Linked DNA regions of Cricetulus griseus. The protein of the gene in region 1 interacts with the protein of each later gene in a biochemical or structural test. Links are inferred from orthologs where the notes say so. Each region holds a gene or a part of one and is shown in the gene's direction. Other genes may lie near its edges.

Region 1 (3,746 bases):
TCTGGCTAGCCTCGGCTCTGCGGGGCACCGAGGTCGTCCGCGCCCTCGGATTGATGCCCCGGGTGCTCAGGGAGAAAAGGGGGGTGGGGCAGGAGCAGGAGTCCAGAGCTTTTCCAGGGGTGGCCTGATCCCAGGTCCCTGCGTCCACGGAAGACTCCCCGTGGACGCAAAGAAAGGGACTCCACCAGGGCGCCCCCGACTCTGCTTGCAGGTTCGGGTCTTGGGAGTGCAGGCGGACAGCGGGAGCTGGGCTAGCTCTGGGCGGGGAACGGCAGGTGCTGAGAGCCGGCCCGGCTTCCTCTCACCTAAGTGTGAGCTGATTATTCAAATGGGCTGCCCGGGGTCTGGGGATTGGAGGCCTGCGCCAGCGCGCCGCGCTATATCACCAGCCGCCCACGTCACTGCGGCACTTGTCCGCTGTGCGGTCCACACCTCCTCCTCCCCCTCCTCTTGCTCTCCCCCCGCCCGCCCCCGCGCCGCTAGCTTCCCGCCGCCTCCCGGCAGCTCCACACTGCCAGCCTCAGCCAGCACCGGCAGCCCCGGGAGCGCGGCGACGGAGGGCACGCCCGACGGCAGGGCTCGGGCTCCAGCCTCCTAGGTTCTTTGGCCCCCTCCTCCGCCAGCCACCTTCCCGCCCACTCCCAGCTACCTCCCGCGGCAGGCCGCGGGAGAGAGAGGAAGTGGAGCCCAGAGAGAGAGGGGGAGAGAGAGAGCGCGAGCGAGCGCGAGAGAGGGCGGGAGGGAGGGGACGGTGCCTTAGCTGACTTTTTTTTTTTAAGAGGGTGGGGGTGGGGGCTGATTGCTGGTCGTTTGTTGTGGCTGTTAAATTTTAAACCGCCATGCACTCGGCTTCCAGTATGCTGGGAGCCGTGAAGATGGAAGGGCACGAGCCATCCGACTGGAGCAGCTACTACGCGGAGCCGGAGGTAAGCGCTTGCCTTCGCCCGGGGAAAGTGGGGTGGCAGCTATCTCCGCGTCCCCAGCCTCGGCACGCTCCCTTCAGGGGCAGTCGCCCCCCCCCCACCTCTAGTCTTCCTGGACAGCCGCCTTTTCCGCCCTCCTTCGACTCAAATGGGTCTCTTTTTTATACGACACACTGTTAGCCTTGAGATAATATTAACTTTGTGATCAAATATTGACTTGCGGCGCCTCCAAATCCTCTTCGTGGCCGAGCCACGCACTATCCTAACAGAGTTATGTTTGGCAGCGCGCGGCTGGGGAGGGGTGGGAGGTCGGCTGGCGAGGGGGTGGGGAGCTGGAAAAGAGAAGGTGGGTAGGAGTTGGGGACAGAGGTGCAGGCAAAGAGTCAAAGACTGTGGACAAAGAGAAAGTTTGTGGCTACGAAGCCCGGACACTAACAGTTCCTAGCCGATTTGGCGGTCCCTTCCCTATTCCTCCACGCAATGCCTCCAACTGCCCACGGGCTCTGCGCAGCCACTGCCCTTCACTCCCCTGTGACTAAGGAGTGGGGTCCCAGTACGAAGGTCCAGAATAGGGGACACTGGGAGTATTACCACTTGAGATCGCCCCAGTGACGTTCCAAAGGTGGCTTTTGGCGACCAGGGATAGCAACAGAGATTTCCAGTCTTGGTGCTGACTCAGTATGCTACCCGGGGGCGGCGGGGGTGGGGGGGTTGGTAGAGTCTCTGAGGATAGTAAAATCCATTTGGGGCGCCTGACTTGGTGGTGGTCCTGGGCACCGATATTCTAGAATCTGGGCGTGAAGTGAGCCACAAGTCCCCTGGCCACCTCTCCTCGGATGATCACCCGTACTGCTGCTCTCTTTGAGGTACCGAGGACTTGGTGTTGGTGGATTGGGATCCAGAGAAATAAAGAGATCCCCAGAAGCCTCCACGAAGGTGGAGGACTAGGTCCAACTGGTGTGTGTATGGAGGCGGGGGTCTGACACGCTCAGCCTAGGTGCTAACCAGTCTCCTCCCCGGGCTCTGTCCTCAGGGTTACTCTTCCGTGAGCAACATGAACGCCGGCCTGGGGATGAACGGCATGAACACTTATATGAGCATGTCCGCGGCCGCTATGGGAGGCGGTTCCGGCAACATGAGCGCGGGCTCCATGAACATGTCATCGTATGTGGGAGCTGGAATGAGCCCGTCCCTAGCTGGCATGTCTCCGGGCGCGGGCGCAATGGCGGGCATGAGCGGCTCAGCTGGGGCGGCCGGCGTGGCCGGCATGGGACCGCACCTGAGTCCAAGTCTGAGCCCACTCGGGGGACAGGCGGCCGGGGCCATGGGTGGCCTTGCTCCCTATGCCAACATGAATTCAATGAGCCCCATGTACGGGCAGGCGGGCCTGAGCCGCGCGCGGGACCCCAAGACATACCGACGCAGCTACACACACGCCAAGCCTCCCTACTCCTACATCTCGCTCATCACCATGGCCATCCAGCAGAGCCCCAACAAGATGTTGACGCTGAGCGAGATCTACCAGTGGATCATGGACCTCTTTCCTTTCTACCGACAGAACCAGCAACGCTGGCAGAACTCCATCCGTCATTCGCTGTCCTTCAACGACTGCTTTCTCAAGGTGCCCCGCTCACCGGACAAGCCCGGCAAGGGCTCCTTCTGGACCCTGCACCCCGACTCGGGCAACATGTTCGAGAATGGTTGCTACTTGCGCCGCCAGAAACGCTTCAAGTGTGAGAAGCAGCTGGCGCTGAAGGAAGCCGCGGGTGCGGGCGGTGTCGGAGGCAAGAAGACAGCTGCTGGGACCCAGGCTTCGCAGGCTCAGATCGGAGAAGCCGCGGGCTCGGCCTCCGAGACTCCGACTGGCACCGAGTCCCCCCATTCCAGCTCTTCACCATGTCAGGAGCACAAGCGAGGCGGCCTGGGCGAGCTGAAGGGAACACCGGCCTCCGCGCTGAGTCCCCCAGAGCCGGCGCCCTCGCCTGGGCAGCAGCAGCAGCAAGCTGCAGCTCACCTACTGGGCCCACCTCACCACCCGGGCCTACCACCGGAGGCCCACCTGAAGCCAGAGCACCATTACGCCTTCAACCACCCCTTCTCTATCAACAACCTCATGTCCTCCGAGCAGCAACACCACCACAGCCACCACCACCATCAACCCCACAAAATGGACCTCAAAGCCTATGAACAAGTCATGCACTACCCTGGGGGTTATGGTTCCCCCATGCCAGGCAGCTTGGCCATGGGCCCAGTCACGAACAAAACGGGCCTGGATGCCTCGCCCCTGGCTGCAGACACCTCCTACTACCAGGGAGTGTACTCCAGGCCTATTATGAACTCCTCCTAAGAAGATGGCTTTAGGCCTGGCTAGCTCTGGCCACCAGGAGAAGGACCAGAGAAAAGAGAGGCTGCCTGGAGACTTAGAGCTTTGAGGAAGAAGTAGTCACCACACTTCAGGCCCTAAGAATGCAGTCTCACCCAACTGCCTGTGCCCCTAAATAGATGGTCCACGGTGATCTGTCCTTCTAAATAGGGAAGAGAATGGAAATATATACATATATATACATATATAAACATTTTTAAAGGAGCCTTTGGTTTCCACCCTGTAGACTCCTCCTCAAGGCACCTGCAGATTCTGATTTTTGTTGTCGTTCTCTATTGTTGATGTTGCAGGGAAGTCTGACTTAAAACAAAAACTTTTGTGAGTGACTTGGTGTAAAACCATGTAGTTTTAACAGAGGGTTGTACTGATGTTTAAAAGGAGAAAAACAATAATGTAAGAGAGTCTGGTGTAAATGACCAGGAGAAAGAAAAAAATGCATC
Region 2 (3,746 bases), on another chromosome or scaffold:
TATTAACATAGCTCTGGGGGAGGGGACTCAGCAGAGGAACAGAAAGATTTTTCCTTTTCTTCCCCCAATCTCTTTTTCATATGTAATTATGGAACATTTGGAAGGTAGAGAGAATTCCTAGTAGTTTCGTAGCTTTGAATATTTATCTACTTCAAACTTAAAGTGTGGGGAAGACAGCTCCAGTTAGCAGGAATCAGAGGGGGCCGCCTCTGAGAACCCCAAATCCCCAAAATCTGCCTCCCCCAGGATCTGCAGCCCCATCAAATCAACATGGAAGCAGCTTGCTCTGCCAATGCGCTTCCCACTTGCAAAATGTGGGTGCCAACTTTTTTTTCTGATTGGTGGGATTCTAACTTTATTTCAACATTTCTGGCAAGCCCTGTGCTAATCTTTAAGACTTTTTTTTTGCAGTATGTTTAAATTAAATATTTGATGGGTGTCGCTTAAAAGTTAAATACTTGTTTGTTTAGCTATAGTTCTTTAGACACATATAATCAAGGTCCTACAAAACCCTAATAAATCTGTTACTTACCTCGAAATCTAATTATCCAGACTACTAATTAGGTGAAAATGATTACTGGAAATGACTTCAAATGTGGAATAATAGCGGTTGGGCAGTTTTCTCAAGTTTGTTGTTCAGCAAGTTGGTATTTTAAATGTTAAGTTGGTATTTTAAATGTTAAATACATTTACATTTTAGTTTCACAGCAGTTGAAAGTTGTAATAAAAAAAAAAAAGCTAAGATAATTAAAATCTCTGCCAGGGAAAGGCAACAGTCTGGGAAGAGGTAGATTTCTTGAATTGTTTCTTTGTTTCTCACCAATGGGCTTTGTTATCAGCATTATTTATTTAGCCAAAGAGTTCTTTGTCTCTGCAAATGGCCCCAATCAAGTTTTGTTTGAGACAATTAGCTAGTGCCAGCCAATGAGTCCTATGCAAATGTTGGGCTAGGAATGTAATGTGTGCATTTGGAGGCGTGGGGTTTTGTTCTTGGGGAAGGCAGATTGTAATTGCTTTCCTCGGGTCTTTTTTTTTTTTTTTTTTTTTTTGTTAAGTTTGGGGTGGGGGTGGGGAAGACAGGTTTATCTGGTCTCGCTCCATCCCCTCTAGTTTTGGAGCTGCTGGGGGTTGAGGGGACGGCGGGGGGCGCATCTGCAAGTCCTTTAAAAGCCTGTGTCTAGCGTCACCCTGGCTCTCTTTAGTTAGTGATGGAACGTGGAGGAAGCTGCTCCCTCAGAAGCAGTAAACCAGCATCTCTGTTTGTTTGCTTTGCCCCTAGTTCCATCACTCCAAACCCACCCACCAAGGACACTGACCCTGTCCACTCCAGGCGAATCGCGACCGTCCGGCTGGGTTCCCCCAATTTGGGCCGACTTTGCGCCTCCAAACAACCTTAGCATGATGTCTTATCTAAAGCAACCGCCTTACGCAGTCAATGGGCTGAGTCTGACCACCTCGGGTATGGACTTGCTGCATCCCTCCGTGGGCTACCCGGGTAAGTGAGTTACACGGCATTCTCAACGCCCTTCACCACCACGCTCACCCCTCAGGAGCTCGGAGGTTGGAGGGTTCACTGCCCTCACTCAAGCTCCAGACAGGGTCCCCACTGCGTTTTGCTTGTCACGAAGCAGCCGAGAGCCACTGGGCATTTACTGACCCAAGAGGGAACAAGAAGCTGGGAAGAGACGAGTCTGGGGTTTGCAGCAGTCACAGAAAGTCACACCGCTTCATTCTTAAATTAGAGAGGCTTGGGGGACACTCATTGGGCAGGGTCGTGAAAGGTTGTTGACCTTGTCACTTGAATATGCTTTTGCCTAGTCTCCACGCCCAGTTTCTAACTAGTACCACCCTAAGAGTGATCAAGTTTTCTTCCCTACTGTACCCTATAGTTCTTCAGATTTGCCAGGGGTTTCTGGTGCCTCCAGGCCCCCTCCTTTAATCCTTGGAGGTGTGGCTTCCCTCCAGATGCTAGGCACCTTTCCTCCCCACCCGGCACCAAATACTCATAAAAGTCTGAACTATTGTTGTATTTTAAAGATGCAAGAACAAAGGTCCTTGCAGTGTTAAAATACCGTGGGAACTGGCTCCACGTTCGCCCAGTCATTTCTAGCCTCTGGTCCTTGCATAGCCTCTAACTTTACCAGACAGCCTTTTCTGTTGGCAGTGTGGTCTGTCGGTTGTTTCTTGTTTGTTTCCAGAATTGGGCATGAGGGTGGGAATTGTCTTTACTCGGTTTATTTTGTTAGCTCTCCAGTGGTGCTCTGTAGTTCAAGGGGACACTTGCAATGGGAGGCGGGGGATACTGCACTGCGGGGACACGACACTGTGTGTCCTGCTCTGTGTGTCCTGCTCTGGAGGGGGTGGGGATCCTCAGCGGTGGGAGGTTGGGGAGTCGTGCACCGAGGCAAAAGTCCCGTGACTGAGAAACTGCTCCCCCACCCTAAAGGGCCCTGGGCTTCTTGTCCTGCAGCCACCCCCCGGAAACAACGGCGGGAGAGGACTACGTTCACCAGGGCACAACTGGACGTTTTGGAAGCTCTGTTTGCCAAGACTCGTTACCCAGACATCTTCATGCGGGAGGAGGTGGCGCTGAAAATCAATTTGCCCGAGTCCAGGGTACAGGTAGGACATGTAGACACGTCCTCTCTGAAGTTTGGTGTATACAGCTCTTGAGCCAAAGAGGAGCTTGAAATTCTAAACATTCAGGAGCCAGTGAACCATTCTCCATTTGCTCTCTGCCCCTCTTAATCCAGTGAACCAGGGCCTTCTGGCCTGGTTGCAAGGTTAGAGCAGCAATTCAGCTGCAGACACAAAAGTACTAGATAGAGACTTTGGATCTCAGAGTCCCTGCAGTTGGAGATATCCAGTCGAGGGCAAAGTTCAAGGATAGTCAGTCACATGGTCCTTGTGTGGCCATCATGTTCGTGAATGGGAAACCGGGACAGTCTTTTTTCTTTTTAAGTACATGAAGAGATAGAGCGAGTAACTTTCTCCAGGCCATACCTGCTTTGATGACAGTCAGAAAGAGTGCTTTTACCAAATAAGTTGATACTGTGTGTGTGACTTATTGAGGACACAGTTTCCTAGCTGTTATTTAACAGACAAAATTTTTTATTCTTAATATCTGTGAAGATACCCCCTTTCTTGCTCTAGTTTCTCCCACATTTTTTACCCTGAAGGGAAGAAAAAATCAGCTACCTCTTGACTGTAGAGCAAACCCCATGTGGAGTTGGTGTTTGGCACCTCATCTATACGTATATGACACTTTCCTTTGGGCAGGACATGTTTTTGAAAGTGCCAGACGTCACTGTGAACTACAAAGCAGAAAACAGGATTTTTCAAAGCTGGTTGGAAAAAGTTTAAGCATTTGGTTGGAAAAAGTTTTGGCACTTGTAATTCTTGACCTAAAGCCCTCATTGTAAACAAAATGGCTTAGGATATCAGTGGTGCTGAGCTTGGCCTTGGGGGCATTACAGTTACAGCATCCAAATAGTCAATGACCTGTAGTCAATGTCACACTTTTAATCCCAGCACTAGGGTGACAGAGGCAGGCTGGTCTACAGAGTAAGTTCCAGGACAACTAGCTGTATGAGGAGACATGTCTGCCCCATCCTCTCCAAAAAATGAACTGTAGCTAAGACAAATGCCAGTAGTTTCTATCCTAAGTTGTTGCATTGCGGAGGATGTACAAGGCTGCTAAAGAGAATTTTCAAAGTGGCAGGCAGAATTTTGTTTTTTGTTTTGTT
Region 3 (3,746 bases), on another chromosome or scaffold:
CAGCTTAGGGAAATGCAAAGCTTTGCAAGCGTCTGCACATTTACTTATTACAGAAAACAAACAAAACAAAAGCTCGAATACCCAATGTCAGCTGTGGGACAGACGCACTGTACACACACACACAGGTTCTCTCCCTAAAGCTGCTCGAGCCAGCCTGGGAGTCCCGGGATGCACCCAGAATTGGCCCGGCTGCTGTGTTAGTCTCTGCGATCCCTGAGCTACAGACACGGGGTTGTTGGGGAAAGAAAGAGCCCCAGGCAATGCCTGGTTTGGTATCTGTGTTTTACCACCTTGGTCCCTCACCATCAAATCTTGAAGGGTATCGCCAAATCGGCTCTGGGTACTGGAAAGAAAGGGCCTAAGAGCTGGGCCCCAGCCCTGTCGCAGCCTCTCAGGATGCCCCTAAACAAGAAGCTGGAGGAACAAAGGGGAACTCCCCTCTTCCCCGACAGAACCAAGTCTTTCTGCCGGCGCATAACCGTCAATCGGAGAACCGTAGCTTCAGCCGAGGCGAGCCAACCTGGGCCGGGAGTGGAACAGTACAGCCTCTAGAGCGACTAGGCTCTCCGCAGGCTCCCAGCTCCCGATTCCCACTCCCTGCCTCGTACAGCGCTAGGCGCTGCCACCTAGAAACTCTCAGGACCCAAAGAGGGGACCCAGGACCATGGGAGCCAGAAGAGTCCTAACTTCCAAGCGTGCCAAGGACGCCTGAGATGCCAGGCCTCTAGTGGGGAGAATCTGCTTGTCTCTCAGCTACATTTGTGATTTACTTTGGTCTTTCTCGGAGCCCAGGAAAATAACTACGGAGATACTAGGCACTGCCACGAAATGATTCCATTAGTTCCCGCAATTTATTCCTGGAGGTCTAAGCAAGACCCCAATAGCTCTACCCAGGGATCCCAGCTTTCAAACAGCCTCAGAGGCTGCAGAGAGTCAGGGCCCACTCTCTGGGTTCACCAAGAACCTTGCTACCTGGGACCCGGCTGGCTGGAGGAACCGGACCAGGGATGAAGATATTCCGAGCTGGATAAATAATCAAATCAGATAACAAACTAATGACACGAAAAACATATTTACACGAAAGAAAAATCGACTCTGGTTATACGAGTGTATGGAATTTGACCTCGCCTCGGAGAAACACTACACAAAAGCTGTCTTTAATAGACGCCTGTCGTTTAAGAGCGGCAGGGACACTGTCCTTCACGCGCTCACAAAAACAGAGCCATAATTGCGGCTGCTGCTGTGGGAAGGATTTATTTCTTCAATTGGGTAAATGGTCTTCCATTCCCCGAAGGTGATATCTGTGTTTTCAAAATTCACAGCTGCGGGCCGGACGGGCAGAACCTACCCCAACCTCTACACAAAAATAAGAGGGTCTACAAAGCCAGGGAAATAAAGTTGTTGTAAATAATTCCAAGTCACCACCTCCCCCTAATCCTCCGTATCCTCGCCGGGCGTGCGATCGGCAGCTGACGGCCTCACAATTGGTACATCCTAATGGAACTGCGAGGGAAATGCAATAATTTTGCCATAATGGGCTGTAACCTCAATTCGACCCCGGCCCTTGCAGCCCGAGGTCGGAAGCGATGTGATGCTCCCTGCCTCCAGAGGGTGGCGCTCGAGTCCGACTGAACGGCGGCTGCGGGTGGCGAGCACGCGCCCAGGGCGCGCGCGCCACCCCTCTCGCCTCCACCCAACTCCCCCATTAGTGCACGAGTTTACCTCTAGAGGTCATCAGGCAGGATTTACGACTGGACAACAAAAGCACGTGATTCGAAGTCGTACCCCATATTTGGGTGCCTACGTAGGAGGGAACCGAGTACATGTCCCAGTCATTTCCATAATTCATCATAAATTGTGCAAGGGTGCTATAGACGCACAAACGACCGCGAGCCACAAATCAAGCACACATATCAAAAAACAAATGAGCTCTTATTTTGTAAACTCATTTTGCGGTCGCTATCCAAATGGCCCGGACTACCAGTTGCATAATTATGGAGATCATAGTTCCGTGAGCGAACAATTCAGGGACTCGGCGAGCATGCACTCCGGCAGGTACGGCTACGGCTACAATGGCATGGATCTCAGCGTCGGCCGTTCGGGTTCCGGCCACTTTGGCTCTGGCGAGCGCGCCCGCAGCTACGCGGCCGGGGCCAGTGCGGCGCCCGCCGAGCCCAGGTACAGCCAGCCGGCCACGTCCACGCACTCGCCTCCGCCCGATCCGCTGCCCTGCTCGGCGGTGGCCCCCTCGCCCGGCAGCGACAGCCACCACGGCGGGAAAAACTCCCTGGGCAACTCCAGCGGCGCCTCGGCCAACGCCGGCAGCACCCACATCAGCAGCAGAGAGGGGGTTGGCACGGCGTCCGCAACCGAGGAGGACGCCCCTGCCAGCAGCGAGCAGGCGAGCGCCCAGAGCGAGCCGAGCCCGGCGCCGCCAGCTCAGCCCCAGATCTACCCCTGGATGCGCAAGCTGCACATTAGTCACGGTAAAGCCAGACGTTTTCTGATCCACGCGTCCGTGGGGGCGCGGGTCTCGGTCACCCTCTGTTCTTTGCAGCCTCTCTCCGGGTCTCTCTCCTAGTCTCGCCTCTCTCCAGCCTGCAGAGCCTCTCCCTGCGGTTCTCCTTCCCCTGCCTTTCTCTTTACTTCCTCCCCATTACTGCAGCAGCATCCTGTATTCGCAAATACTGGGGGGAGGAGGGGGAGAATGGGGTAGCCGAGCAAGTTTAGATGTTGTTGAAAGAGGAAGAAATTCCATCTGGAATCCCAGCGACTCGGAGAGCGCTTCAGGGTCAGGCCGGCCGAGCAGGGCTTGGAGAGAGGTAGGGATGGTAGTAGGGGCCGTGAATCGGGCTTGTCAGGGTGGATAATTTATGAGAAGGGCTACGCTGGGGAAACAGCGTTACTAATTAGAGCCCCTAAAAGGGGCTTGGGGGGAATAATCTAGGCGAGGGCAGGCGAGATTCTCAAGTTTGGGGGCAAGAGAGAGAGGGAAGGAAAGAGAGGAAAAAGAGAGCGGGCGCCCCAAGCGTACAGGCTGGAACAGGAGGCGGCTAGAGCGGCTGGAACTTTAACGGAGAGTGACCTGGAGGCCACTTGGGAACTCAGAAAAAGACAGTGCTTCGGTGCGGTGGGCAGCCAGAGAGGGCAGTGCCCCTGCTTATGACAACTGGTGCAGGGCCAAAGAGCAGAATGGGGGCGAGAGAGAGCCAGGCTGTCCTTCAAGACAGGGTTCCAGCCTCAGGTGGGCCGGTTGTATCCAGAGTCCAAATCATGTTGTTTTTCTCTTCAGAAAGGAAGAGAGAAGGAAATTCGGAAAGGACAGGCGGGGAGGGAGGGAGAGAGGGAGGGAGGGAGGGAGGGAGGGAGGGAGGACTTGTTGAGCCTCTTTCCCAGCTCAGGACCCTGGCTGACTCTTGGAACCAGGTGCTGAGGAGTTAGTTGGTGGCTAAACCGCTCACTTTTCTGTTGCAGACAACATAGGTGGCCCAGAAGGCAAAAGGGCCCGGACGGCCTACACGCGCTACCAGACCCTGGAGCTGGAGAAGGAATTCCACTTCAACCGCTACCTGACCCGCCGAAGAAGGATTGAAATAGCGCATGCTCTTTGCCTCTCCGAGAGACAAATTAAAATCTGGTTCCAAAACCGGAGAATGAAATGGAAAAAAGATAATAAGCTAAAAAGCATGAGTATGGCTGCAGCGGGAGGGGCCTTCCGCCCCTGAGCCTGTGGGCGCTCAAAGTAC

The links.
Region 2: the proteins of Foxa2 (region 1) and Otx2 form a complex in vitro, tested with the Homo sapiens proteins (2 studies listed by BioGRID). The link is inferred for Cricetulus griseus from reciprocal best matches to the Homo sapiens genes FOXA2 and OTX2.
Region 3: the proteins of Foxa2 (region 1) and Hoxa5 form a complex in vitro, tested with the Homo sapiens proteins (2 studies listed by BioGRID). The link is inferred for Cricetulus griseus from reciprocal best matches to the Homo sapiens genes FOXA2 and HOXA5.

The regions. Positions count from the first base shown.
Region 1 is NC_048599.1:30,937,057-30,940,802, forward strand, and holds Foxa2 (hepatocyte nuclear factor 3-beta), read left to right. Parts: upstream 1-839; coding exon 840-926; intron 927-1,956; coding exon 1,957-3,270; downstream 3,271-3,746. UniProt on the Homo sapiens protein: Transcription factor that is involved in embryonic development, establishment of tissue-specific gene expression and regulation of gene expression in differentiated tissues.
Region 2 is NW_023276807.1:204,712,234-204,715,979, reverse strand, and holds the start of Otx2 (homeobox protein OTX2), read left to right. Parts: upstream 1-1,398; coding exon 1,399-1,495; intron 1,496-2,446; coding exon 2,447-2,622; intron 2,623-3,746. UniProt on the Homo sapiens protein: Transcription factor probably involved in the development of the brain and the sense organs. Can bind to the bicoid/BCD target sequence (BTS): 5'-TCTAATCCC-3'.
Region 3 is NC_048601.1:89,139,833-89,143,578, forward strand, and holds the start of Hoxa5 (homeobox protein Hox-A5), read left to right. Parts: upstream 1-1,558; 5' UTR 1,559-1,591; coding exon 1,592-2,486; intron 2,487-3,474; coding exon 3,475-3,725; 3' UTR 3,726-3,746. UniProt on the Homo sapiens protein: Sequence-specific transcription factor which is part of a developmental regulatory system that provides cells with specific positional identities on the anterior-posterior axis. Also binds to its own promoter.